Linked DNA regions of Schizosaccharomyces pombe. The gene in region 2 interacts genetically with the main gene of each other region. Each region holds a gene or a part of one and is shown on either strand. Other genes may lie near its edges. The genes, in order: rdp1, pph3, psm3 and rad21.

Region 1 (8,282 bases), on a different chromosome or scaffold from region 2:
TTTCTTTAATCAATAAGGTCCTAGACTTCATAAATACACCTTGTCCCTCCTTTTCATGGCCTAAAGAGCGTAAATAACGAACTATTTCTTTCCCGTGGGAAAGACTGATTCCTTTAAATCCAAGTTGATGAAGTAAAATTTCCGTCACCTTTCGCTTTCTATTGTGAAGTTTATCTGCAAAAAATTCGGCAAACAACTCGTTTAGATTACCACGCTCTAGCTTATTTTGTATCAAAGCCAAATTTCTAATAGCATCCGTAAACTCTTGTAAGCTAATTTGTATGTCGAGATGATCAAATTGCATAGATATTTCCTTTACCATGTTTCTCTGTTTGGCATAAGCCTGAAGGATGTCCTGAGTATCCAGATTTTTACAAAGGACTTGAAAGGATGTATACGAACACATATCGGCTTGTTCCGATTTAGTATGATATTCTAGTTCACGACTAAATTCGAGATCTTCATCATGCTTTCTAGACCAATTTTCTAGTTCTTGAAGCTGGTGATGGCGAGCCTGACGAACCATATAATCCCTTTCTTCACTATTGTGTACTGCCAACAATGTGGTCTTATTGTTATGGTTAATTGACAGTTTGTATAGAGAGACCTCTTTCTCCTTCTGCAGCATTTCAGCACCTGCTGGTCCATAAGTTTCAATTGAAGAAATAGAAATTTCGGTTAAATTCCAATTATACAAAACCTGCTGCTTAGCAGGGAAATCAACTTCTTTCATGTGAGAAGTAGTAACCAACAGTCTATCATTAAACAGAAGCATATTGACAAGAAGCTTAGGTCTCTGATTGTCAATATTGATTAACATCCAATTGTATTGCTCACATATAAGCTGTCTTTGAGGCGCTTCCCAGAATGCTTCATCTAGCCCTTCAATGGATGATCGTAGTCTCTGTACCGTTTGTTTTATTGATTCGTCGGAAGGGTCATGCGTATGGTCGACCAAGTTTAATCCTTCAATGTCAGTCTCCAGGGTTTTCAACAGAGACTGAAACTTTTTAAAATCTGAAGTCATGCTCTCAACCTCCCCTGATATAAATACATATTCATTCAAATTTTTGTAAAAATTCTTTTCCAAATTTTTACGGACGCCCATGTGAATGCGTAGAAGCTTATTGTATAAAGACACAAATTCATCTTCACTAAGGTCCTGTAAAACATCGTTTAAATCTTTTTTGCAAAATTAGTTTCCAATAGACATAATTACACATACAGCTTTGAGCATCAAAATTTTGATTATCGAAAAATTTAGGCTGTAAAAAAACTTCATTTTGTGAAATGATATGTTTTGTTTGCCGTTTTTGTCGATAAATATCATCTGTTTTAGAGGTACCGACTCGTAATCGCGTCGGTGACTTTTAAAAAGCAGTTTTAGTAATAGGTTGTTTTTATTTAACTTCAGTACATACCTGTCTTTGGCTTTCATTTGGTATGGACTCCGAAGCAACACTTAAATGATTAGATTTCCTAACAAAAAATTAGCTCAAACACCCGATATTCTCTAGCTGCGTACATGAATTCATCTTCAAAAGAAGATGGATTGTCAGGCATTTTTTTTTCAAGTTTCTGATAGAAGAATAAATATTATGTATCTAAAGGATGTTAAATTGAATGCTTCACATTTGAAATAAGTTTAACAATTTACCAATTAAAATAAGGGAATGAAGAACCTATTTGTGGTATTTACAAATAGGAATAATAAATTAATTTATCCTTGAGCAATTGCTCTATTTTTAAAAATCTATTAAGTTGTTTGCTTTGCCGAAGTAGTTGGACGTGTTTGTAAAATCAAGCGCTGACGAGGGGTTTGGAATATCAGGGCTGCACTTAATTTTGAAACGAGTAAAGCTACGTAGCTCAAATTATATACCATGCTTAAAAAATAAATTTATAGTAAATATCAGCTAGATATTATAACACGATATTGAACATGAATTAAGGTGCATGATATCAGTCGTTTAACTGATGGAAGTTTCCTAACAATTTTTTATTCCTTGGTGAAAAAACTACCTCAATATCTGCTTTGGATTGAAAACTGAAATTCAACTTGCCGGTTCATATAGGATGAATATGTATTCTTAGTATTTTGATTCTACTTCCCTATACGTAAAGGAGCCTTCACTTAACTTTATTCCACCGTGCTACAAACTTCCTTCAAGAGCAATTCATAGATATTGATACTATAACGGTCAATTAAATTAAAAAGGCACACATATACATGTATGTATAAGTGGATAAATAGGAACATTATAATCTTTTTTATATAAATCGAAGGTTTTTCGTATCTAACGAATTTATAGCCAGCTGAAAGGAATCTTCTATGATAAAAGACCACTTCGCAGAGCGAGGCTGCTGATACTGCATAAAGGCGCTATGAGATTTAGTGTTTTATTTTTACAAAAGGTTCCAAATTGATTTGTTGTCAGGGTTATAATTAAATCCAGATTTTGTATGGCAATGTAAAGCAATGGCAGTTTCGTTAAATGACTTTATAAGTGTTAAATTAAAACGTTATTCTCGTGAGTCACCCTGGGAAAGACTTAGAGTCCCATATAGAAACAAAAAGCAAAAGAAATGGGCTTCCGTTCACAATAATGAAGCTCAGTTGCACTCGGCTAATAAACGAAATGATAATTGTCTAATCCAAAGAAGTAGTACTTGGAGATTGGGGGATATGATTACACTTGTCATAAAAGATATTCCAGTTACTTGGCTTTCAAATGAGGGAGGAAAACTATACAACTTGTGGGAACCCCTTCATGATTACGGTACAATAGAATTCATGAAGATTAATGAACCTTTGAATGGACAGACAAGTACTACTGCAATAGTCCAATTTGCTCCTCCTCCCAAAGTTCCATTCTGGGAACCAAATGGGAAAATAAATGTCAAAGGTGTTGATCTAGCTGTTCAAATTGACATAACAGCACATCGTTCCCACATCAGCCGACAAGTTTTCTCTAAGAATAGTTTTAGAAGCGATCAGCTAGTAAAAATCCCGTTATCCTCCTTTAAGCTCGGGCAAGTTTATGATGAAAGAATTGTCCCACTGTTTGGTGTTGATTGTGGAATAACTGTAACTGAATCAAACTTACTTGTATATTTTAATTTCAAAAAGCTCTGTGTTCTCTTTGATGCTTCTTTTGACAAACAGATCGAAACCTTTCGTCTGGACTTCGATTTTCATTCCATAATAGGCGATGTAGGGACGGATTATTACGATGATCATATTTCCCTCGTATTTAGATTTAGATTTTCTCCACTAATTTTCAGAAAATCTAAAAATGCAACTGAATCCAGAGTTCAAACTTTCTGGACTGCATCTCATCTTTGGAGACGACATTATGATATTCTACCTTTCAATGTTTCACCAACGACTGCTAGTCCTATAGAGCTACTTAATTGCCATAACGCCCCCATTGGACGCTGCAATGTTTTAGTCCTTAGCTTTTCCATAAGGGATGAGTCTGATAAAGATGACATTGCCTTTCTTTTACACAACTTGGAAAAATTCAATTTGAAAAGTCAACTTGATAAAGTGGTTTTCCATCTTGTCCCAGACTACAAACATCGCTGTAGTCTAATAAATGATAAAGAAATTGAGGAAGAGATTGCTTATCTTTTGCAGGCTTGCCTTTCTAAAAACTTATTATCAGAAATTGATTTGCCCATTATATTGGCGAATTTAAAGAAATTATCGAAAGAGAGAGCAAAAAAATTCCTAAGACTAATTCTAACGTCCAAAACCGCTTTAATAAATCCTTCTGAGCTAGATTTTACTAAGTCTTTTGTCTTTTACGATTTATCTTCCGCTTCTTCTATTCACATTAAAAAATTGTACGTTACACCTACTACTCTTCGAATAGTTGAAGACTCATTAGAAGCAGGAAATCGTGTTATAAGAAATTTTAAGGACTTTGCAAACCGTTTTATGCGTGTGCAAATAACTGATGAATACTATAAGCAAAAAATTCGAGGCGGTTCTGATGGGTTTAGAAATGAAAAATTGTATTCTCGCATCCAACAATTATTAACCTACGGAATTAAAGTTGGTAATCAAATTTACGAATTTTTAGCTTTTGGAAATTCTCAATTAAGAGAGCATGGTGCTTACTTTTTTGCTTCGGGATCTGATCTAAATGCCAAACAGATCAGGGAATGGATGGGTGACTTTAGTGAAATCAATTCAGTATCTAAGTATGCAGCAAGGATGGGACAATGCTTTTCAACGACAAAGGAAATTAATCGATTTTGTGTTGACATATCCCTTCAGGATGATATTGTTCGTAACAACCACTGCTTTACTGATGGGGTTGGAATGGCATCATTATCTGTAATTCGAAGACTTTCTTTGGAAGTAAAAAATCATGATATGTTTCCCTCTGCGTTTCAATTTCGTATGGGTGGTTATAAAGGCGTTTTATCTTTAGCTCCTCCGACTAAGCTTGAATACCATCAAGGAAATCTTGTGTTTCCACGCCGTAGTCAAGATAAATTTAAATCATTCCATAGTACCTTGGAAGTTATTAAAATATCTCGATTTTCAAATGCCCATCTGAATATGCAACTGATCACCTTATTGGAAGGACTCGGGGTTGAAAAAACCGTATTTTTGGAATTGACTAGAAGTCAGTTGTCAAAAATGAACGAATCGATAAACAGCAAACAAAAATCCATTTTAATGTTACGGGACAACGTAGATGAATATCACTCTACTTTAATTATTGCTGATTTTATCCAGGCCGGTTTCCTTGAAAGAGATGATGCTTTCACCGAGAATTTATTAAATCTATATTATGAATGGGTTCTTAGGTTAATTAAGGAAAAACAAAAAGTTAGTGTTCCAAAGGGTGCCTATTTACTTGGTGTAGCTGATGAAACTGGAACACTAAAGGGTCATTATGATGATGCTGTTTTGTCAGTACCTGAAATTTTCATCCAAATTACCGACACTTCTACCAGTTTTGGTTCATATTCAACTGGAAAGCTGAAAACAAGGGTTATAGTTGGATTGTGTATTGTTGCAAGGAATCCCTCGCTTCATCCAGGTGACGTACGTGTCTGTAAAGCTGTCAGATGCGATGAGCTTATGCATTTAAAAAATGTGATAGTGTTTCCGACAACGGGTGATCGAAGCATTCCTGCTATGTGCTCTGGTGGTGATCTGGATGGGGATGAGTACACAGTTATATGGGATCAACGTCTTCTTCCTAAAATTGTTAATTATCCCCCATTGCTTGAATCATCTCCCAAGAAGTCTATAGATTTTTTGGAAGGAAAGCCACTTATCGATTCGGTAAAAGAATTTTTTGTGAATTATATAAAATATGATTCGCTAGGTCTAATTTCAAATGCTTGGAAGGCATGGGCCCATGACCATGATAATAATCCGGAAGGGATATTTGGAAATGTGTGTTTAGAACTTGCAGAAATGCATTCAAAAGCTGTAGATTTTGCTAAATCGGGAGTAGCTTGTAAAATGCAAGCCAAATACCATCCCAAACGATATCCTGACTTCATGCAAAAAACAAAAACTCGTTCTTTTCGTTCCGAAACCGCGGTTGGCAAAATTTTCAGATACGCTGCACGATTCCAAAGAGAAAGTGGCAGACCTGCAACTTATAATCCGATAATGAATACTGTTTATGATCCTTGTATGAAACTTCCAAGGTTTAAAACTGAATATCTGAATGTAGCTGAAGAAGTGAAGAAACACTATGATAATGACCTGAGATCAATTATGGCTCGTTTTGATATTTCCACAGAATATGAAGTTTACACAGCTTTTATCCTTTTTAAAGATGATTTAGCTAAAACCGTAAATGAATATGGTCTTAGGGAGGAAGTTAGCTTTCAGTTCGACCTTCTAAAGAAAAAATACACTCAAGAGTACTTAGAGAAATGCGCTTTATCAAATCAATCGGCATTTGATTCTTCGGAATATGAAGAACGGATAAACAGTGCGGTTGCTGCCACTTACGATGTGACATACGATCAACGTGTCAAATCTGTTGGCAATGGCACTACTGAGGTATTGATTTCATTTCCATATTTATTTTCTAGTCGTCTTTGTCAGCTTTCACGAAAAGCCATGCTTACTGCTAATAATTTTTAAATCGAATATACATTCGAAGCTTTAATTGCTCGTAAAAGGCTAATAGTAATTGTACTCATTATCGACAATGGAACATAGAACAGCAAAACAGGTAGCTAGAGTTAACATTTAACAAGACTGTTGTATGTTTCTGCTGAAGGAAAAGAGTTGTCATAATTTTTACACATATACTCGATGGTTAAAGCAATTTAATCGTAATAATGTATAATTAACGATTTTTATATCTGCCAAGCTTAATCTAATTTTCACCATTAATTTAAGTAGAATAATTATAAAATTTTGTAACACGAAACAAACCAAAACTGTAAAGAAACTACGGCATGTGAACTCCAATTCAGCTTCTCCGGGCAAGATAAATGCTTTAACCAACCCATTTTCTAGCAGATTGGAAAAGACGGATCCAAGGACCATGAACGCCCCACTCGCTAGCTTTCGAATGAGGGTAATAACTGTTTGCAACTTTCAAAACTACACGTTCAGGGTGAGGCATCATAGCTAAAAAGCGACCACAAGGGGAGCGAACACCAGCTATAGCATCTCTGCTTCCATTAGGGTTGAATGGATAACGGCTAGTACGCTCGTTGTAGTTGTTAACGTAGTATATCAAATCCAAACCTTCCTTCTTAAATTGTTCGTAATCGGACTCTGAATCGAAAACAGCTCTACCTTCTCCATGGGCAACGACCACGGGTAAACTAGATCCAGCCATACTTTCAGTGAAAATGGATTTTGAACCACTTGTTTCATCGATCTTTAACATAACTGCACGACCTTCGTATTGCGCTGACTCATTAAATGTAAACATAGGCCAGCTTTTAGCTCCTGGAATAAGTGATTTCAGACGACTGAACAGTTGACATCCATTACAAATACCCAAACCAAATGTGTCTTTACGCTCGTTAAAGAAACGGTAAAACTCATTACGAGCATCTTCGTGAAGAAGGATGGAAGTAGCCCATCCATTGCCAGATCCTAAAACATCACCATAAGAAAACCCACCACAAGCAGCAATACCGACAAAATCATCCAAATGAACTCTACCGCTGAGGATATCAGTCATGTGAACATCCACGGCAGTAAAACCGGATGCATAAAAAGCATATGCCATTTCCAAATAACCATTTACGCCTTGTTCACGAAGAATTGCTACTTTGGGACGACTAGTTAAAGCCAAATCAGCGGTAACTGACACATTTGGATCAAATGTAAGGTGGTATCCTAAACCAGGATCATTATTATCGGCAATATTTTCCATTTCCTGTCGTGCACATTCAGGATTGTCACGAATTTCTTGCATTTTATAAGAGGTTTCATGCCAAATTCCGTGTAATTTAGAGCGAGTTGATTTGAAGATTATTTTACCAGAACGGCTAAAAGATATTGTTTGAGCCTGGCCGGAAAGTACTTTACCGATGCGATGAACACAAGTACTCAAACCATTAGCAGCAAATAACTCCAATACCTTGGCAATGTCACGATCACAAACTTGAATTACAGCGCCTAATTCTTCATTGAACAAAGCCGCAATATTATCGGATGACAAAGAATCTAACTCACATTCAATACCAACATGACCGGCAAAAGCCATTTCACTAAGAGTAACAAACAAACCTCCGTCAGACTTATCATGATAAGCCTGAATGTAGTTGGTTTTATGCAGTTGAGTAATAACGTTAATGAAATTCTTGAAAGTGTCTAAATTATCAAGATCCGGCACCTCATCACCCAACTGCTTATAGGACTGAGCAAGTATAGAACCGCCTAAACGTTGTTTTCCATTTGCTAAATCAATAAAAATCAATGAGGTGGATCCGATGTCCTCAACTTTACGTAATTGCGGAGTCCAAATGGAATAAAGATCATCAACAGGAGAGAAGCCAGTAATTATAAGTGAAAGAGGTGCAGTTACGGATTTCTCCCTACCGTCTTCATTCCATTTCATACTCATGGACATTGAATCTTTACCCACAGGAATGCTAATACCAAGTGATGGGCACAGTTCTAAGCCTATCGCTTGCACTGCTTCATAAAGTTTTGCACCTTCTCCAGGATGCGAAGGAGCTGCCATCCAGTTGGCGCTAAGACGAATACGATCTAAAGCAGGAATAGATGCTGCTACAAGGTTCATAATACATTCAGCGACAGCCATTCTAGC
Region 2 (5,794 bases):
TTGGTTTTCGTATCCCTAAATTTGTTAAGAACCTAAAGTTTGACAACACACTAAAAAGGTTTTCGTAATTTACGATGTAAAGGTGTGGAAAATTTTTTAGAAGGTAGCACCAATATTATTGGCTGCTTTTGCAAAGCCAAGTGACTGCTTTTTTTCAAATACTTACTATAAAAAGGCATCGTCCGCGATTTTGAAGACCATCGACGATACTCCATAGGATCATTTCTATAGTATACGTCCGGCTTGGGTTTCCTAACCTAGCCACAGAACTCAACACGGATGATGATAGAAGGCACCGTTGCCCGCAGAGTGAGAATTTTTACTTCTTTGAGGATGTGCTGATCGATTTGGCTTTTTGCTTAATTGTTGTGCTATCTTTATTTGCGATGATCTCTTACATGATATGTTCCTTTTGGTCGTGTCATGTAGGGCAGCTGGTGTTTTCTGACGTGTTTTCTGTACATTTCTTTGTAACAATTGTCGTGAATCGTTTGTGAGAATTGTTATAACTTGATGTGCATAGTCAAAAAGTGTGTAGATGATGAGCTAAGCAGTATTCGGTTTTCATGTAATATGTGAGCAGTAGGCATTGTTCGTGAATGAGAATCTGTTGTTTTTAAGTTGTGAAATAAAATGTAGAGAAAGGTGTAGTAGTCGATTAGTTCTTTTGTGTGGATACTGGCGCAGTTGTATTGCATACTCTAATTGTTTATTTTTTCTGAAATTTGGGGGTACTGCTAAATGGTAAAGTGTACGAAGTAATAGTTGCAATGGTAGTTCTGGCTCCTTTGTGTATTCTTAATTAACCTGGTTGCTTATTATGCGTTATTTACTTGCTTAAACTCATTTTATGTTATATAGTTTTATTAACATTTGTTTTGATAAGTTGAGGCGGTTAGTTAACAAAATTAAATTAACAGAAAACTAAATCTGCAATCGTATTATTATCTGATTATCCAATTTAAAAGTTATCTTTCACAAAATCATCAACATAAAAGAATGATTAAGGATATTAAAAGTACAATTCTTCATATGCACAGATAACAATTAATTGGGAAGCATCTCTTGCAATTCACCATTTTCAATCATCTCCGAAACAATATCTAAACCACCGACGAATTCACCTTTAATGTACAATTGAGGGAAAGTTGGCCAATCGGAAAACACTTTAAGACCTTGGCGTACAGAATCATCAGCCAATATGTTAAAAAATCCATACTGAACGTTTTGCTCACGAAGTAATCCAACGAGCTTACGACTAAAACCACATGCAGGTTCTGAAGGAGTACCCTTTAAAAAGAGCATAACATTGTGAGCATTTGTTAGCGTGCTCAACCTTTCATTTAGTTCAGAATCCAACCCATTTGGAGCTTTAGAGGTATTGGAAGTAGTGTTGGTAGTCTGAACGGAATTTACTTGAGTTTCCACGGACGCGTTGGTAGAGGATATTTGGGAGATAAGGGGTTGAATATACTCGTCAATAGCAGCCTTCAATTTTTGAGGATTTGCCCCCGAAATTCTAGCCAAAACTTTTGCTCCGTGGATTAAAACAAATAGAGGAACAGCGTTTACATCAAACGACTCTGCTATATCGGAAAATTTTTCAGCTTCAATTTTTAAGAAAACGGCATTTTTCGTGTCCTTTGCAAATTGATCAAAGACTTGGTTCATTTGCTTGCATGGAGCAGCCCATGGTGCATAAAAATTGAGTAAAATTATTTGCTCTTTTCCATTTTGCAATATCTCTTGAAATTGTTCAACAAAAGTAATTTCGACGCTCATTTCCAATCAAAATAGCACAGCTTGAGGAATTATTTCTTTTCCTACTTTTTTTTTCAAAAACCTAGTTTATTCTTTTTAATCAACAATCAACGCCCTATTTTTTCCTAGTTGGTTGTCGGCAGGTTCGGCTGAGCAGTGTAGAAAACGTATCTAGTAAAATCTCTTCCTTGCACAATAGGCGACGCAAATGATATAATTGCAGCAAAAAACATATCCAAGTAAATTACTCGAAATTTTTTAGTTAAACCACTTTTGATGTACGTTTTGATGATTCTTCTTCACTTTTTTCATTGTCTATTCATTAAACGGCATTCTCGATCTCATTTTTTTAATTACCATCGTGACTGATCAGATAACTTTATCCCTCGGTATTAAAACGTCTGGAAAATAATTTTTTCGGCAAAAAAAACTAGTGTGTTGCGCTTATACTCCGATTCTACGTAATACCCAAACAATTCTGTTAACATTTTATTTTTGTATGTTGTACATAAAATTAACAGTCGCTTTACTAGCCAAATGAGTTTATAACAAGCGACCAAAACAACCAAGATGAGATATGTTTCATACTTGATAAAAACAACAGCATACACATTGATTGATATAGTTAAAGTATTAAAAAATTGCATTGTACTGCTCAGGGCAAGCATTTCTTACACACCTCATTCTTTTGATAGTACGCAAATTGCAGTAAACCATATTGAAAGATAGAAAGAATATATTTCTAAAATCTTTTTAGTTATTTGAACATCTTGAGTTGCCGACTGAACATAAGTAAAGAATAGTATGCAAATTATGTTAAAGCTTCACATAAATTATGGGTTTGCAACACGAATTGACTATACAGTTTTTCTATATTGAGTGTATATTCCGCCACAGGGGTACGCCTTCAGCATACAGATTATTTTACCTATAATTGTGAGTGTTATCTGATTTTTACCAAGAAGCTATAGTGTTATGTAGTTTATTTCACAAAAACCCTATAACATCAAAGCTGCGCATTTGTGCGAACAATTTAGATCCGTTAGAACTATAGGAGTTTTTCTTATAATCTAGATATATATATGAGTAGGTGCACGTTCTTGTATTAGCGTTATAAAAACTCAAGATCAATGATAATACGGCATGCTATAATAATCATACTGGAGTAGCATGCAACTTAATTAAAAGATTCTAGTTCATCATTAATTTTAAGTATAAATGATTAAAAAAAAACAATCTAATACAAAAACTTGTGTCCATTTCATTTCGAGATGAAAGCACTAATAATGGTGGAGCAACCGTATTTTTCTGAAAAACAATCTAGCGTAACGCAACGTATGTGTCAATAAAATTCGGAAGCTGCTAATTAAGGAGGTCATGTTAATTATTTTAAAAGTCATTATCAAAAGGAAAACCGAATTTTAGTCACCAAAGCTCTACGCGTCATACCTCTTGACAGAGGTATTTTGACTTATTTAAAATTAAATTTCTTAAATGATACATAAAGTTGAAAAAGAATTTCACTTGTTTATTTTCTTATTCTAAAGGACCAAGTTATTCTAGTTTTCTTTACTTTATGTTTTGACGAGTTCAAAATGACTGATTTAGATTTGGATTGGCAACTTGAGGAACTGGAGAACGGAAGGTTAATTCCAGAATCAAATGGTATGTATAATAGTATTTATAGAATAACTTTTATCTCCGTCGATATAACAACGATCATTCATATTGGTTGTTCTTTGCCATAATTATAAGAATGGGGTCTAACGTTTTGTGGTAGTTGTTGAACTTTGTCAGCGTGTAAGAGATATTTTAATTGAGGAATCTAACATACAATGGATCTCATCTCCTGTAACCATTTGTGGTGATATCCATGGCCAATTGCATGATTTACTGGAGCTTTTTCGAATTGGTGGGTCATGTCCAGGTACAAAATATTTATTTCTAGGGGATTTTGTTGATAGAGGGTTTTACTCTGTAGAAACATTTCTCCTGTTATTGACTTTAAAATGTAAATATCCGAAAGAGATGACCCTTATCCGGGGAAATCATGAATCACGACAAATAACACAAGTTTATGGATTTTATGACGAATGTGTAAGGAAATATGGTTCTGCCAATGTATGGCGATATTGTTGTGAAATATTTGATTATCTTTCGCTTGGTGCTTTGGTGGATGGAAAGGTTTTTTGTGTGCACGGTGGACTTTCACCAAGCATCAGCAGTATCGATCAGGTATGTTATTAATTCCGAAAATTTGAACTAAACTTTTAACGCTTTTTATGAAGATTCGACTGTTGGATCGAAAACAAGAAGTTCCGCATGAAGGAGCAATGTGTGATCTACTTTGGTCAGATCCAGAAGATATTAGTGGATGGGGTTTATCTCCCAGAGGTGCTGGATTTTTGTTTGGTGCCGACGTTTCTGAAGTTTTTAATCGCGCTAATGACCTTTCATTCATTGCTCGTGCTCATCAATTGGTTATGGAGGGTTACAAAATCCATTTTTCCGATAAAGATAAACAGTATCCCAAATTTACAAATGAAGAGGACTCTGAGCTGGATTCAGATTCTGCCTCACCTGTTGATGATTCTCCGGCACCTGGAGACATAATAACCATTCCAGAAAAGGATAAAGGAAGCGTGGTTACTGTTTGGAGTGCACCCAATTACTGTTACAGATGTGGAAATGTTGCTTCTATATTACAACTTGATGAAAACCAAACGCAATCCTTTAAGATTTTTGGTACTGCCTCTCAAGAAAGATCTGGCATTCCAACAAAACGACCCATTGCCGACTACTTTTTATGATTATTCAAAATTCATTGCTCTACTTCACTTCCCCAATATCATGTATATAGGTCAACTTGTACTAAAGATTATCCCCTTAACTCTTCTTATTGGTCTCTCATTTTTAATTCTGCACTTATTTAATTCTTGTTTATGGAATTTGGTTATTTTAGCAATATTGATTTGTTTAGGACATCATAAATTTAAAAAGTAATTAAGTTAAATTTTAATTGTAACTTTTTTAAGCTAACTTTCAACGCACAAGATTGTTTAGTCGCTTTCTGAAGGTAATTTAAAGTAGATTGCAAAATGCTCGGTTTTCAAACATTAATCCTCATTTGATCGAACTTCAAACCTGAATTCAGAAACTGGGGTGATGAATATCATTTTTTAAGCTTAATGCTGAAAATTTAATATTACATTATTGAGTCAGCTGGTTTGAGTCTTTGTAGTTTAGACTGCACCCCAATTCAACAAATCCGTTAGCCAAAAAATGAAATAAACAATTGGAATTCAGCCTCTGTTTCAATCACTGAATTGTAATCTAATATCATATATTGAAGTCAATAGAATAAAGTCAATGATATACGAGGTATAAACGTAAGAACACCTACATCTTAAACATTCGATATGATAGAAACATTTTTTTCAAATAAATTCTAAGTAATACAGTATCACAAAAAAAAAAAAAAAAAAGATAACGAAGTGCTTGCTGGTATATTAATGATTGTGTCTTAGACAATCAAGTATTCGTGCAAGTAGTATACATTCTGCCTTAAATTAAATATTTAGTCATGAGTCATATAATATACACAATTATGCTCTACCTTTATAAATGCAACATTTACTATTTGATTTTATGATAAGAGTAACCTGTGTTTACTAGTGCAATTTATCTTGGTGTTATACTGGATTTTTGCAGCTCTACCCCAACATCCGCCTAATCAAAATCAAACGTATAAAGTTGTGTAAAGAGATTATTTACTTCTTTTTTTGATACAATTCTTGTATTTAATTTTTTGATTACTGCCTTAATGGCGTAGGTTGTTCAATTCATGAAATGGCTATTACCTTGAACCTGTGGACGCACGAATCATCATTGTTTCCAAACGATGCAGTCTTAAATTATGATTTAGTACCTTCTGCTAAACCTGGTGATATTTTTGAAATAAGGGCCCAAAATGGTGATGAAATCGCTTTACAGCATAATCACTCAAGCACAGGGAAACTACATGCTAAACGTG
Region 3 (8,261 bases), on a different chromosome or scaffold from region 2:
TCGGTATTGACAGAACTTAGGAGTGGATTAGATCAAACAATTCATTATTTCAACGCAGTTCAAAGTTATAAGTCAAAGGTAGATTCGGCAACATCGATTTTGGAAGCCTTGGCTGAGGAGTTAAACAAAAACCAGTTGACTAATCAAAGGCATGAAGCCGCGCATGAGTTAATGAGGGCGCAAACCGGCCTGGAGATTCCGCAATTAGCTCAAGAACTCGTGCAGCTTGAAAGACATTACACACATTTTGCTAAAGCGTATACCGCTCTCCTTCAGGAAATTCACAGACGACAAACCTATGAAAATTGTGTAAGATCCATTGTGGACGAATTTGTGGGACGCCTGGAGAAGGAACAACAGGCGGAGGCGAAATGTCGTATCGATTTTTTCAATCAATATGGTGATTATTTACCCCAGACTCTATGGGGAGCTGTAACAGATCCTCCTTTACATTTTGAAATTATAGAGCACCAATATACAGAATTGCCAAACGTAAAGGTAATTCCTGATAAAAACGATAAGAAATCGAAGCAACGTGAAAAATCTTCTACTACAGCCTCTAAGCGATGACCCTGTTAGCCATATTTTACGATTTTTAAAGTCTATAAACGTATAATGATTTTAGTTATGCTACTAGTTTATGAGTATTGTATAGACTTTTCCAATAAAGATAATTATATAAAATAACCGTAATTTTTTCCCCTGATTACTTTTTTCTTCCAGATTGTTTTAGTTTGCGCTTCTTCTCATACTTCGGAATCTTGGATTTTCTTTTCTCAGCCTTATCTTCTTTGGTTTTTTTTTTCCGTGCCCTCTTCTCCTCCGGTGTCTCCTTTGCACGTCCGTTTCCTTTACCTTGTTTTGCAGATGATTTTGAATCCGAAGTCCGTTCTTCTTCATTTTCCATACTACTTATAGAATTTGCATCATCATCGCTCTCCGAAGTCTCATTTGGGAGGATTTGATCGTTTTGATTTTTTGTAGTGTCATTTAAATCCAATTTTTGAAAGTCTGTATTTAATAAGTGCTTATATACAAGGCTATTAACACCTCCGGCGTTTACGATTTCAGTATCTCGATCAATGTCGTATACCTCATCTAAAGTCCGAGGAACATAAGTTTTTAAGAATTCCTCTTCGTATTCTTCTGTAGTAGGTTCTTCCTCATAAATTGCATTTAACCGGGTTTTCATGGCTTCCTTTTCACAACTTCCTTCTTCAGTAATGAATTTAAATAATTGAGGTAAAGATAAGCAACCAGCATTCAAACGCCTAAAGAATGTAGAAATGTTTAAAATATCCATTCTTAAAAAATCGATGCTCTGCGGGTGGTCATGTTCAACCGATTGTGATACATCAATAAAATAAACTTTACCTTTATGATAAAGTAAATTATATTCTGACAAGTCAGCATGCACGAGATGACAAACATGAAACAAAATACGCATATTCCGTGCTACAAGCTGATATAATTTAGTAGCCTCACCAGGCGTCATATCTATATCCTTTAACTTGGGGTATGCCCATCCTTTCTTGTCCCCCAGAAACGACATAAGCAAAACGTGCTGCTTCAATAAGATTGGCTCTGGGCAAGGAATACCAGCAGCAGCCACACGCTTCAAGTTTCTTATTTCTTTTTCAGCCCATAAGCGTACCATTTTTCGGGGATTGCGCTTGTTATACCCATGACGAAAACGAAATTCTCCAGAAACATAGCGGTCACGATCCTTAAATACTAAGATTGAAGTCTTATAAATTTTTATAGCAAAATGTTTACCATCCTCGTTTGTTGCATGATACACATTTGCTTCCTTTCCCGTGCTTATACAACCATTAATTTCTGATATAGTTCCATTATTTATTAATTTTAATAAAATCATTCGAGTACGGGGATCCAGCACTTGTTCAGATGTAGCGCGGTCACTTTTATCCTTGATAGATGACTTGTCTTTATTTGTCAGTACTATTAAACATGAAAATGTAAAAGTGTGAAGGATCAAAAGACCTCGAGTTCTAAAACCTATGAGCAGTTAAACTATATTACACTTACCCTCTGCCTCAAACCTGTCATTTAATTTTATATTATTCACATAACGACTAAGCGTAGAAACGTGATCATTAACTGAATTGATCTTAGAAGAATTATTCCCAAAATTTTCCTGTCTAGCAGAATAATCTAGTAAAAATGTTATTAATGATCATGAAAAATGGTAACAAAAATTCATGCAAAGTGCTTTTGGCTATTCAGTATATGAACTTACTTGAAGAAGCTTGATTCCAGTCTATATCGTCTTCCCTAAAGTAATCATTGTCAGAGCCATCACTAAAGTCGCTATATTCTGATTCTTCTTCATTTGTCTGTGCATCGTTTTTTAACTCCTCAACCATCTTAAACTTTAAATAAATCAATAAAAGAATAATTTATTTAAAAATTTGACAAAGAACTGGATACAAATCCAAGTTTTTGTATTTTGTAGGTGGTAGTAAAAACTTTTTGTTGTAAATAAAACTGGTATATAAAAATGTAAGAAGTTAGCAAATTATGATTACCATAAGTTACAAGATGATTTTTGCAAACCAATGATTTTTTTTTTAATTTAGTGGATTATATTTTTTCCATTCTTCGATCAATAAAATATATATTACATTTCCAAAAGACATTTAATGTTAGTGTGAGCGGCTTTCCTCATTAAAGCTTGACAATAAAAAGTCAGATAGAAAAGAAACAATACATAAGCTCATATATGCATTTTTTTAAATTCATTACTGAAACGCTGACGCTCAAGAGCAGCTTGCTTATTTAACACTAATGCATACTTGGCATCTAAAAAATCACATACTCAATTAAGCTAGCGCGCTTTCTACCAATTTGATTGTGCATTCCCAGTAGTTTAATAAAGAAATATTATATTTGGAAATTGATGCGGCAGTAAAGAGAAAAGCAAACGATCTTCAGTTAATACAGTTTCATATAGAAAAAACATAACAAAATCAACATCAACAACTCAAAGAATTTCTCATCTTGGTTAGTATGAATGAATTATTATGTTGTAGATTCTTAGAACTCTGTTACCACAAAGATTGATACTTACACGCCATAAAGAAGACACGCGACGCGTAAATACTTTAACCCAAACCAACCACAAATCTATGTATATCACAAAAGTAAGTAAAGCATTATAGAACCCCAGTTAACTGATTTATTAAGATTGTTATTCAAGGGTTTAAATCTTATAAAGATTATACTGTAATAGAGCCTTTAAGCCCTCACCACAATGTAATTGTGGGACGAAATGGATCTGGTAAAAGCAATTTTTTTGCTGCAATTCGATTCGTATTAAGTGATGCGTATACACATTTAAGCCGTGAAGAAAGACAAGCTTTGCTGCATGAAGGCCCTGGTGCAACTGTCATGAGCGCATACGTTGAAGTTACGTTCGCTAATGCTGATAATCGATTTCCCACCGGTAAAAGCGAAGTTGTCTTGCGTCGTACAATTGGATTGAAAAAAGACGAATACTCTTTGGATAAGAAAACTGTAAGCAAGACAGAGGTTATTAATCTTCTCGAGTCTGCTGGGTTTTCAAGATCCAATCCTTACTACATTGTTCCTCAAGGAAGGGTCACATCCCTAACCAATGCAAAGGATTCAGAGCGTTTAGAACTTTTAAAAGAGGTTGCAGGTACTCAAATTTATGAGAACAGAAGAGCTGAATCCAATAAAATTATGGACGAGACAATTCAAAAATCGGAGAAAATTGATGAACTTTTGCAATACATTGAAGAACGGTTGCGTGAGTTAGAAGAGGAGAAAAACGATCTTGCAGTTTATCACAAAAAAGACAACGAAAGAAGATGCTTGGAATATGCTATTTATTCTCGCGAGCATGATGAGATTAACTCCGTATTGGATGCCTTAGAACAAGACCGGATAGCTGCACTTGAGCGTAATGATGATGATTCGGGTGCTTTCATTCAAAGAGAGGAACGCATTGAACGAATTAAGGCTGAAATTACAGAGCTCAACCACTCGCTTGAGCTTTTACGTGTTGAAAAACAGCAAAACGATGAGGATTATACCAATATTATGAAAAGTAAAGTCGCATTGGAATTACAGTCTTCTCAATTATCACGTCAAATTGAATTTTCGAAGAAAGATGAGAGCTCAAAGCTCAACATACTTTCTGAATTAGAGTCAAAAATCTCTGAGAAAGAAAATGAGCTTTCAGAAATTCTTCCAAAGTATAACGCTATAGTATCTGAAGCTGATGATCTTAATAAAAGAATCATGCTGCTCAAAAATCAGAAGCAATCACTTTTGGACAAGCAATCGAGGACTTCTCAATTCACTACCAAAAAAGAACGTGATGAATGGATCAGAAATCAGCTCTTACAGATCAACCGTAACATTAATTCTACAAAGGAGAACAGTGATTACTTGAAGACTGAGTATGACGAAATGGAAAATGAACTCAAAGCAAAATTATCTCGTAAAAAGGAAATTGAAATTTCCCTTGAATCTCAAGGTGATCGAATGTCGCAACTACTTGCTAACATTACTTCAATTAATGAAAGGAAAGAAAATTTGACGGACAAAAGGAAATCTCTGTGGAGAGAAGAAGCCAAACTTAAGTCGTCTATCGAAAATGTTAAGGACGATCTTTCTCGTTCTGAGAAGGCTTTGGGGACTACAATGGATCGGAATACAAGTAATGGTATTAGAGCTGTCAAAGACATTGCTGAACGTCTGAAACTCGAAGGTTACTATGGTCCACTTTGTGAGCTTTTCAAGGTTGATAACCGTTTCAAGGTCGCTGTTGAGGCTACTGCTGGGAACAGTCTATTTCATATCGTGGTAGATAACGATGAAACCGCAACTCAAATTCTTGACGTTATATATAAAGAAAATGCCGGTAGAGTTACGTTCATGCCTTTGAACAAGCTTCGTCCAAAGGCGGTTACTTATCCTGATGCCAGTGATGCTTTACCTTTAATTCAATATTTAGAGTTCGATCCCAAGTTTGATGCTGCGATTAAACAAGTTTTTTCGAAAACCATTGTTTGTCCATCGATTGAGACCGCCTCCCAGTATGCTCGATCTCATCAATTAAACGGTATTACTTTAAGTGGTGATCGATCTGACAAAAAAGGTGCATTAACTGCCGGGTATCGTGATTATAGAAATTCCAGGCTGGATGCTATCAAAAACGTTAAAACATACCAGATCAAATTCTCGGATTTACAAGAAAGTTTGGAGAAATGTCGTTCCGAAATTGAATCTTTTGACCAAAAAATTACTGCATGCTTAGATGATTTGCAAAAGGCTCAACTAAGTTTAAAGCAATTTGAAAGAGATCATATTCCTCTTAAAGATGAACTCGTAACTATTACTGGAGAAACAACAGATCTTCAAGAATCAATGCATCATAAAAGTCGTATGCTTGAGCTTGTTGTTTTGGAACTACATACACTTGAACAACAAGCTAATGACTTGAAATCTGAATTAAGTTCAGAAATGGATGAACTTGATCCCAAAGATGTGGAAGCACTAAAGTCTTTGAGTGGTCAAATTGAAAATCTCTCTCATGAGTTTGATGCCATCATTAAAGAACGAGCACATATAGAAGCAAGAAAGACGGCTCTTGAATATGAATTAAATACAAACTTATATTTAAGAAGGAATCCATTGAAAGCTGAAATTGGTTCTGATAACAGAATAGACGAATCAGAATTGAACAGCGTAAAGAGATCTCTACTTAAGTATGAAAACAAATTGCAAATTATTAAATCTTCATCTTCTGGGTTGGAGGAACAAATGCAAAGAATCAATTCTGAAATAAGCGATAAACGAAATGAATTGGAATCGCTAGAAGAATTGCAGCACGAAGTGGCTACCCGAATTGAACAAGATGCAAAAATTAACGAAAGAAACGCAGCAAAGAGAAGTTTGCTTCTCGCACGGAAAAAAGAATGTAACGAGAAAATTAAATCATTGGGGGTTTTGCCGGAAGAAGCATTTATTAAATATGTTTCAACTAGCTCAAATGCTATTGTGAAGAAACTTCATAAAATCAACGAAGCCCTTAAAGATTATGGAAGCGTTAATAAGAAAGCATATGAGCAATTTAATAATTTTACTAAACAACGCGATTCATTGTTGGCTAGGAGAGAAGAGTTGCGTCGTTCTCAGGAGTCAATTAGTGAGCTTACGACAGTACTTGACCAAAGAAAAGATGAAGCAATTGAGCGTACCTTTAAACAAGTTGCTAAAAGCTTTTCTGAAATATTCGTTAAACTTGTTCCGGCAGGTAGAGGTGAATTGGTTATGAATAGAAGAAGTGAATTGAGTCAAAGCATCGAACAAGACATCTCCATGGACATTGATACGCCATCCCAGAAAAGCTCGATCGACAATTATACAGGTATCAGCATAAGAGTTTCTTTTAACAGTAAGGATGATGAACAACTGAATATTAATCAATTGAGTGGCGGTCAGAAGTCACTTTGTGCTTTAACTTTAATTTTTGCTATCCAACGCTGTGATCCTGCGCCTTTTAATATACTCGATGAATGTGATGCTAATTTAGATGCACAATATCGCTCGGCCATTGCAGCGATGGTCAAAGAGATGTCAAAAACTAGTCAATTTATTTGCACTACTTTTCGGCCTGAGATGGTGAAAGTTGCGGACAATTTTTACGGAGTAATGTTTAATCACAAAGTTTCAACAGTTGAGTCGATTTCTAAGGAGGAGGCTATGGCATTCGTTGAAGGATAAAATGGTTATGGTTTGTTAATTTAAGTTCGCATTTTTCTTTTTAATTTCTTTGCGTGGACAAACCGATCTTTTTGCTATTAGTCATTCTTTCATTAATATCTCTGTTATTTAATTTTATCATACTTAATTTATAATTTTTATATTCATGATGCAATTGCGCTTGAATCAATCAGTGCGTATTACTACCAGAGTTGATACTTTCACATATAGTTTTTTTAAAGTTCTAATCCCAATGGAGAGTCATTTTAATAACTTTTTCCAGATTTCTATTTGTATTCAAAAAATCGAAAGCATGTCGTAGCGTTAAGACTTGTATAAATTCGCTATTTTAGACCTCCAGTCAGTGCTCTTAATTCGCGACAGTACTTACTACATTGTGCGAACAAGATCAAAGGCAGAGCATCTATATCCATGGAAAACCCTCCATACCATGTATCTATTTCCAAATCGGAAGGTGAATATTTTGAAGCTTGATTGATTTTTTCATTTACTAATGAATACTCAGAAATTAAATATCGCCAAAAGTGCAAGGATTTAAAGGCTAGAATTCAGGAGATCCAAAAAGGAAATCAGGAGTTATTAAGCAAATATGAGGTTATTCGAAGAGCTGTCAAGCGTGGCCGATTAGAAAGAGCTATCTTAATGGAACAGTTGGAATTGCAAAGTGAAGCAAAATCTCGCGAATTTGGACAGCGCTCTGAGCCATCTCCTCCTGTAAGTGTTTTTATAGAGTGAATTTATTGTAATACTTGTACTAATCATATGTAGCCTCCTCCCGAAGGTATTAAAATCAAAATATCAACGAAAGGCGCTGGAAACCCGTCTGCCAAGAAGTTAAAGATATCTACAGAAGAAACATCTGATACAAACGTAGCATTAAACAACACGTCGGAAATATCTCATAAATCATCAAATAATTCCCAGCCTAAAGATGCATCCGTCAATGACACAGATGCAGACTTTGAGCAGCAAAATCAAGTTGTTCAATCAAAAGATGAAAAAATTACGAATACTGATCCAATACCTTCTCCTATTATTACAAATCTTAAAACAGAAAGCTCAAAATCATCTGGAGCTAAAAAAGCTACTTCTAATGCCAAAATTACAGACACAATGTTATTCAACCATTTTTCGTCTATTCAAAAACCAAAATTAAAGGCCGAAGGCTCTACCTTGAAGGGACAAGCTTTGAAGAAAACTCTTGAAGATACATGGAATAATTTGACCGAAGAAGAGAAGAAACCTTATCATGAAGGATTGCTTGCAGCGCGTGAGAAGGCCAGAGAAGCAAGACGTCGACGAAGTGCGCAAAATTCAGCAAAACTAGAGAAAGAGAAAGCTAAAGAAAAGCAAAAGGATAAAGATCAAGAACAAGACACTGTTAGTGATAAAAATCAGATAGATGAGATAGAAAAAGGGCAGAAGGAAGTAGATGAAGAACCTGTTTCTGAACCCACCACTTCGCCTATTTTACCTCCAAAAAA
Region 4 (7,845 bases), on a different chromosome or scaffold from region 2:
TTTTCTCATACGGTTTAATCTTGAATATATTAAAGCTTTTTCCTTCTGAACTTTCGTGAACAACCTGACCAGCTAGCCACGGAAAACTGGCTGACAGACGCTCAAGTCCATTTGTCAGCGTCTCAATAATTGCTGAATGTGAGGAATCATCATCGACTATTGGAAAACAAAAGGATATCTGGGTATAGATTTTAAGTGATAATTGCTGTGCTAAAACATCCGCGAAATCATAGTTGTTTCATCCATGATATTGGTTGCACTAATATGTAGTGGGCTGATATAGCGTACATGGGTATGGTATGGGTACGACTCTCTGTAGCAGGCTCAATTAAGCAGCTTGCTTAAGAAAAGGAACTGTAGGGTTTCTCAATACATTTTGCCAACTGAAGGACCATGTAGCATTGAGTATTTTTTGTAGGTTACAAGGTAATCGCGGCAATGTGAGTTACGTGTTGAAAGAATTTTGGAGTCGAACTCAAGTCCAGCAGAAATGTCTATTTTTATACATATTGGCTCAACCTCCATCTACACTCATATGTTAAAATGGTTAAACATATAACGCACTCAAGCACATTAGAATCCATCAAAAAAACAATCAAGGGTTACAAGATGAACGTTTATGGCTTAAAAAAAACCATCTCTGCATCTAACTGCATCAAGAATTCTTAACCCAAATAATGTACGTCGAGCTATTAGTAAAAGCCTGTTTTTGTTTATAGTCTTAATGTTTAACTAAAAAAGCTGGGTCTCTAGGGAAAAGTATACTATTAAAATCAGCAAATACGGTATATTTTAGATTTATAGTCATGATTATTCAATAATTCGTTCAATATAAAAGGCATAACAAAGAGTAATAGGCACTGCTAATAATTGTGCATTTTTTGAAATAGTCAGAATCCTCTGGAGAATAAAGTGCTATCTTCTTATCAGATGAAGATAAACTCACTTAGGCCTATCAAGCAAAACGTAACTTTAGTAACAAAAGGAGCTTGAAGATCTTAAAGATAATTTGTATTAAATCATAATTGCTAAATAAATTAATAAAAGGGAATATGTGGTATTGGAGTTTCGCCCGTAATTTTGGCAGTTAAAAAATGGCGACACGGTTAAAACAAGTAGGTAAGGGTGGGTAAGTAGTTTTGAAGATGGAAAGAATATTGAAAGGTTGCAACAGGTTAGGCTGTAATTTAAACAAGTAAAAAATCACTTTTTATTATATTCACAGTTTTTTGACTTTTTTTTTTTATTTTCCAGTCGTTATACAAGGATCGTCGTAAACTAAGATACAACAGGGTAAGTTACTCATCGCTTTCAGGTAAACAAGAACACTGTCTTTTTATGATGATTCATTTTGAATTCGGACACAAAAAGCAGAAACGGGAGACCCAAAGAAATCAAGCTTTTCGTACTACTTCAAACCGGAGGAATTAAGTCTTAAACGGTTCAATAATGCATTTAATATGGGCAGAAGCACATAACGATATCCCACACTAGGAAAGCCCAAAGCAAGGCTAATTAATCCAAGCAACGAACCAAACGTCAAACTAAACATCAACGAGAATAAAAGTACAATTAGGCTAAATTTAAGAAATACACTTTGATGTTTAAACCATTGATAGCCCTCTTTGGATACCTCTTCAATAGACGAGTAGCTATAGCGCGACATAAGACTAGGACGACCATCATTTTCTAGATGTGGAGATTGCCCAATTGGAGATTCATCCTTCAATTCTCTTTTGATATCGATATTCTGTTCAGTCATTTTGTTTTGTGGCAATTTAGTTTAATATTCAATGTGTTCCAAAAGAAAAATAAACGTTAATAAAGGTAACTGTTGTATTATTAGACAATAGTCCTTAGCAATCTATTTAAATGTAACAATTGCTTTAGTAATTTATACTTTTTCTCTTTTAAAGTCAGTGAACCGTTGTTGGGAAAAGTCAAGAATCAAGGTTAGAAACATATACGTATTCATTTTATTTACGCCTTCCCCCACATTGGATATTGCCAACAATGAACAATGACATTAAACTTCTGCAGAGGCGAAAATAATGCTATACATTCATTTTATTTATTAAAATGATTTATGAGCGAATTGCCTTCTTCCAACAGTCAAACTCGAATTCCCCTTCACTAAAACATACGGGAACTGTTTTGCGCAGTGTCCACTATTGGGAAATGGAAAAATCGAATTTGCTAGACGAATATGGATGGAATTCTTGTCTATTCCTTTTTCTATTTTTTGTTTGATTTTTTAAATAAATTAGCTTGTTTATCGAATTTATCTGGATGGGGTTTATCGTTAAAAAAAAACACCCTACCCAAAAAAAAAAAATTTATTTATTTTTATAAGTATTTTTATTCATTAACCTTCTTCTGGCATACGAGTCACAATCAACCTTTTAATTTTGACAATAATATAATAGAAATAAAATAAATTTTCAGTCGTGGTAATTTCTATTACATATTCGTTTAATGTAATGTGTTTTGACATTACTAAAATGGGATGAAAACATCCTTTTACGAGTCTATTTAATCATACAGAAAAAATGGCATTGAAGATGCAATTAATGAATGGAATTCATTTGATAAATGTATTCAATGGAAGGATAATGCTTCCAAAATAAGGATGGTCAAAATTTAACTCAAGATTGTTAAAACAAGGTTGTAATCGGAGTTTTCCGTTTTATTGAAAAACATATCCCCTTATGTCTTATGACTATTTTAATTGAATAACATAATTCAAATGCCTTTTGTTGCCTTCTATGCACATATGTGAACGTAAATCTAGCGCATCATTTTATAATACAGTTAGTAGGCCGAAACATACAAGCATATAACAAAGATAAATCAACTTCTTCGAGGAAGCATATTCCCTTGATCATGCTCAACAGTTTCTAACTTCAATACAAGCTTTTTTTATTCATTTATTTAACTATTTGTTGCTACACATACTAGTTTGTTTATGTATCATATTCATTGTCGGCATGGCAACGTGGATTTATTTACGCGCAGCGCGTACTCATTTAACCAGCACCACGTATATTCATTTTTACAAATACCCAGCTTATATCGTAGTGAGGAGGCGAATTTTGCGAAAGAAAGCATTTCTTTCATTTTAATATTTATTAATTTTTTGTTTATTTTTGTTCTTTTTTGATTCCCCTCTTTTTTTTGTCTTTACTCTTTAATTTCTTTCTATCTTTTTCTCCTAATCATATTAAGCTTCTTATGTTCTATTCAGAGGCCATTCTTTCAAAAAAGGTATGTAGTTTATAAGTTTTCTTTAGCGCGTAAACAGTGCTAATTTGTCTTTGAATCGTCTGACTAACTGTTCGCGTTAGGGTCCTTTGGCCAAGGTATGGTTGGCAGCTCACTGGGAAAAGAAACTTTCCAAAGTGCAAACTTTGCACACCAGTATTGAGCAAAGCGTCCATGCAATTGTCACGGAGGAAACCGCTCCAATGGCCCTTCGCCTATCAGGACAACTAATGTTGGGTGTTGTTCGCATTTATTCCAGAAAGGCTAGGTATTTATTGGAGGATTGTACGGAAGCGTTGATGCGTTTGAAAATGTCCTTTCAACCGGGTCAGGTTGATATGATTGAACCAGCTACTGCTCTCCAATCTTTAAAAGGTAAAGATGCTGTGACACAGAGCGCTAATCTCACTCTTCCTGAGACAATTACAGAGTTTGATCTTTTGGTACCTGATAGTACATTTGATTTTCAATGGTCTCAACTTCTTCGTACACCCTCTCGTTCTTCGAACACTCTTGAACTACATTCTTTACCAATATCTTCCTCTCCTTCTTTTCCATCTTCCCAGCTATCAATTGAGGCTGGACGAAATGCCCAAGTAGAATCAGGGTTTTCCTTGGGCGAATCATTCGCACATGTTGGCAATGATATGCAGTTTCATCTTCCCATTTCAAATTCCGGTGCTGCTACACCTAGAAGTGTGCACTCTGATAATCAGTCCCAAATTTCTATAGAAGTAGGTAGAGATGCTCCTGCTGCTGCTGCCACCGATTTAAGTGGAATTATTGGGCCTCAAATGACTAAGTCGCCGGCTAGTTCAGTCACTCATTTTAGTACGCCAAGCATGCTACCAATAGGAGGAACTTCATTGGATGATGAATTGTTGGCTCCTGTTGATGATTTAAACCTGGATTTGGGCTTAGATGATCTTTTAGGAGATGAACAAGGTGCTAATGCTCCGGCGATAGAGGCTGATGAACAAGCTGAAACATCAAGTATTCATCTCCCTTCTGACATTATGGAAGATGATTCATCTCGTCCTGCAGCAGCAGGAGTAGAGGAAGGTCAGGTTGTTGAAAGCGCCACTGCTCCTCAACAGGAAAAGATCAATCCACAGAAAACTGTACGTCGTCAACGTGCAATTATTGATCCCGTTACTGAATTGTCCTCCAAGCAAATGAAAAAACAATTGGCAGATACATCTTCCATCACCTCACCGTTATGCTTGAATACATCTTCCATCGTGTTTAATGCCACCGTTAATTTTACTCGAAACGGTAAATTTAATACTTCCATATTTTCTTCCAACCTGAACCCTAAAGTAAACGAGCTTTTGCAAGCTGATTTCAAACAGGCAATTCTAAGAAAGAGAAAAAATGAGAGCCCAGAGGAAGTCGAGCCTGCCAAGCACCAACGTACTGATACCTCAACTGAAAACCAAGAAACTGCTGAAGTCTTGGACCCTGAAGAAATTGCAGCCGCTGAGCTTGCCAACATTACTGAAGCCGCTATCGCTACTTTACCACAAGAAACCGTTGTTCAACCAGAAGGAGAAGCTCCTGAGCTTGGTTCGCCAATGGGATTTCCTGTTACTGCCTTGGAATCAGCCGATGATTCACTTTTTGACGCTCCTCCCGTAATGCTGGACGAGGCCGATTTGCTGGGAAGCGAACGATTGGACTCTTCGGTATCTGAGGCCCTTCCTAGTTCACAAACAGCCAAAGATTCTCTACGCAATAAGTGGGATCCTTATACTGAAGGTGAAAAAGTATCCTTCCAAACTCTTAGTGCGGGATGCAATAGAGAGGAAGCTGTTCAACTTTTCTTTGATGTCCTCGTTTTAGCGACGAAGGATGTTATATCTGTCAAGCAGGATGTTGCCATTCAGAACGAAATCACGCTTACTGCTAAACGTGGAATGCTACTTTCATCACTATGAGAGGTCGGTTAATATTTTTTCAAAATCCAATTAGATCTATAAATAAGTGTGAATACTTACACGAAATAGATTTTTATGACAGTAATATTGTTCATTGCTTTCTTTTATCTTTATTTTATTTTTGGAATCACGAGTTGTATGTCTTTCTTTTTCCGAGTTACGATATTACTGTTGGATGTATGTAATATTATCAGCTCAACACAAAGTTATGATTAGAAATAGCTTACGCGCTTTTTAATTTATTCTCAATGATTGATCTATCTCTTAAAAATCTTCCTTTCAATGCGATGATACGGGTTTACTAGGATTGAATATATAAAGACAATATGATCATATTATATTAGGCGTATCTTTTTTGTACCCAATGGTTGAGAATTTGGAAGCGAGGAAGCTACGGTAACTTGCATACCTTTGGAGCGCGCCCAATCTATTGCATCTCTAGAAACAGAATCACAATTAATAATATCTATACGTTTTAATTCTTTCAGTCCTCGTAAAACTGCTATAAATCCCGATCCATCGAGGGATATTGAATTTGAAAAGTTCACATACTTTAGATTTGGACAACAATCAGTAATGTGTATTGCATGCTTATTTTGAAGAGCAACGTTATCAGGAATCTCAAGATGCTCAAGTTCCGGTAAAGATGCAAATATTTCAAAGAAATGGGGGGCCAATGCTAGCGAATCGTGTAGAACCAGCTTTTTTAGTTTGTAACAAGAAGTCAAAAATTTGACAACATTATCGATATCATTTTGAGATAAACGAAGATAAAGAAATAACTCTAAGTTGATTAGTGATTCCATCCGGACATTTGTAGGGAATAAATATGGACATAAAATTGTAGATGCAGGATTGCAGGGTTTCACAATTAACGTGGTAAGAGATTGAGGAAGGAATGCTAGATCTTTAACAGTATTCGATACTCCTTCATCAATGATAATTAACGATCGGAGATTAATTTTATATTTTTTTATTGCAGCAACTAGGTCTGACTGATATGAGGCTTCCAGATATTCTAAATATGGACTGGCAGACAGCAAGTCTTTAAGAAATTGCTGTTCTTTATGGTGAAAGGGAAACTTTTGATTTCGGATAAACGTCAAAGATTTAAGAGCCAGCGGTACAGATTCTGCATTAAAGAGTTTATCCCAATCCATAGAATCAAATATCAAATCGGGAATTAAGTCAACAAGCTCAACCTGCTTGAGTTTCTTACAGCAAGATAAAATCTTAGAAGCTATGGAAAATGTTATAGGAGTAGCACAATAAAAGTAGTGAAGTTCAGAAAATGGCGTCCAAATTGTATACAATTTATCCGTTGACTGAGTGTGGAGAGGTGAAATGGTTTTGTAGACTTTAAGTGATTTGACTGAACGAAGTAAGGCTTTGGTAGGTGTTAATATACCAAGCTTCTCTAAGCCAATTACTTCCTGTATATTGTCTTTTGAATAAACAGAGTATCGAGCAACAGCCATAACGTTTCGATCTCTAGAGTTTACACTTCGAGGAGAGGCGCATGAAAAGTCTAAGCAACAAAATAAGCTAGGTTCTTTCTTAATACAGTCTCTCCAGTGTTTGCAGACTTGCATACACTGAACAATACTTTTGAAATTTAGTTGCTGTAGAATACATAATAGGACTTCTCGGGGAAGAATGCGAAACAAATCTAGTACCGGCCTGGTCCGAAGAATTCTTTCATTCAATCTTTGGCTTACTTTTTTTAATACCGGTCTCAAGGGATCCATTTTATGCACCATTCGCAGGCCTTGCGTATACAATTGATCTGCTTTCTTATCAAAGCCGTCAAGCTGTAAAAGTTTTCCCAAGCGTAGGTAACCTCTAGCATTTCTTGCATTCAAATGAATCATCCGTTTAGCATCAAGTTCTGCTTGTGAGTATTGACCTGACTTTTCGTAAACTTGAGCCCTTAGTTCAAACAAGTCAATCGTAGGATTGGGCTCCTGTTCGATGGTTTTAGTAATGAATGTCAATGCATCTTCAAACTTCCTTTTAGAGAGATATTGCTGGGTCTTCTCCTTTATTGCTTTTACTTGATAGTTATTCATGAATCCAAATCTTAATTTCTATACCCAACGATTTATTTTTTCTATACATAAACATAAACCTCCCATATAGCTTCCAATGAACCGTATTTTAAGAACCTCGATATCCTTTTTGAGGTATATATTATGCTTTCGTAGTCGCAAGCTTTATGGAGTAAGTTAGAATTGTTAAAGGATAGTTAAAGCTAGCGCCTTCAAATTTCATTTAAACAGAAATTGAATGTGCAAAAATACTAATAATAAGCATGTAACCAAAAGTTTGGAAAAAAAAGTATCTACTTATTTGTTATGCTTTTCATATGTTAAAACACGTAAACAATCTCAAGCAAAATTAGCATACGGTAATCGATCAAAAAATATTTGGGTTTAACTATTGAGTACAAAACAATAAAGTGATTAAAAGATAAAGCAAGGATAGCTTCTTATATGGTGTTTACTATTTTGCACTGAAGCCTATACCATATACGACTCATCGAAAATTAAAGTAATCGCACTCAACAGCATACTTCTTTACATTAGCTATGAAATTTAATGGAAATCGAGAACAAATCGAAATTATGCAGTTTTCGCTTTTTTTTCAG

Evidence for each region.
Region 1: mutations in pph3 (region 2) and rdp1 together harm fitness more than expected from each alone (negative genetic interaction), as found in Schizosaccharomyces pombe (2 studies listed by BioGRID).
Region 3: mutations in pph3 (region 2) and psm3 impair growth when combined (synthetic growth defect), as found in Schizosaccharomyces pombe (one study listed by BioGRID).
Region 4: of pph3 (region 2) and rad21, a mutation in one rescues a mutant of the other (synthetic rescue), as found in Schizosaccharomyces pombe (2 studies listed by BioGRID, with this or other methods).

Annotation. Positions count from the first base shown.
Region 1 is NC_003424.3:1,322,774-1,331,055, forward strand, and holds rdp1 (RNA-directed RNA polymerase (RDRC) Rdp1), read left to right. Parts: upstream 1-2,167; 5' UTR 2,168-2,232; exon of another isoform or gene 2,233-2,312; 5' UTR 2,313-2,479; coding exon 2,480-6,127; 3' UTR 6,128-6,288; downstream 6,289-8,282. Other genes in the region: exo8 (exocyst complex subunit Exo84), read right to left, coding at 1-1,182, 1,226-1,367, 1,422-1,479, 1,526-1,563; phosphoribosylformylglycinamidine synthase Ade3, read right to left, coding at 6,489-8,282.
Region 2 is NC_003423.3:3,953,492-3,959,285, reverse strand, and holds pph3 (serine/threonine protein phosphatase), read left to right. Parts: upstream 1-3,199; 5' UTR 3,200-3,356; coding exon 3,357-3,426; exon of another isoform or gene 3,427-3,541; coding exon 3,542-3,996; exon of another isoform or gene 3,997-4,030; intron 4,031-4,049; coding exon 4,050-4,571; 3' UTR 4,572-4,734; downstream 4,735-5,794. Other genes in the region: CIA machinery monothiol glutaredoxin Grx4, read right to left, coding at 1,048-1,782; GATOR1-SEACIT GTPase activating complex subunit Iml1, read left to right, coding at 5,611-5,794.
Region 3 is NC_003424.3:1,219,725-1,227,985, reverse strand, and holds psm3 (mitotic/meiotic cohesin complex ATPase subunit Psm3/Smc3), read left to right. Parts: upstream 1-3,127; 5' UTR 3,128-3,149; coding exon 3,150-3,164; exon of another isoform or gene 3,165-3,207; coding exon 3,208-6,777; 3' UTR 6,778-7,017; downstream 7,018-8,261. Other genes in the region: autophagy-associated protein kinase activator Atg17, read left to right, coding at 1-570; rio1 (RIO family protein kinase), read right to left, coding at 707-1,947, 2,050-2,175, 2,261-2,387; Ino80 complex HMG box subunit Nht1, read left to right, coding at 7,189-7,231, 7,283-7,491, 7,546-8,261.
Region 4 is NC_003421.2:1,339,861-1,347,705, forward strand, and holds rad21 (mitotic cohesin complex non-SMC subunit Rad21), read left to right. Parts: upstream 1-3,032; 5' UTR 3,033-3,231; coding exon 3,232-3,264; exon of another isoform or gene 3,265-3,344; coding exon 3,345-5,198; 3' UTR 5,199-5,533; downstream 5,534-7,845. Other genes in the region: SPOM_SPCC338.18 (uncharacterized protein), read right to left, coding at 1,409-1,762; F-box protein Pof3, read right to left, coding at 5,534-7,267. UniProt on the Schizosaccharomyces pombe protein: Cleavable component of the cohesin complex, involved in chromosome cohesion during cell cycle. The cohesin complex is required for the cohesion of sister chromatids after DNA replication.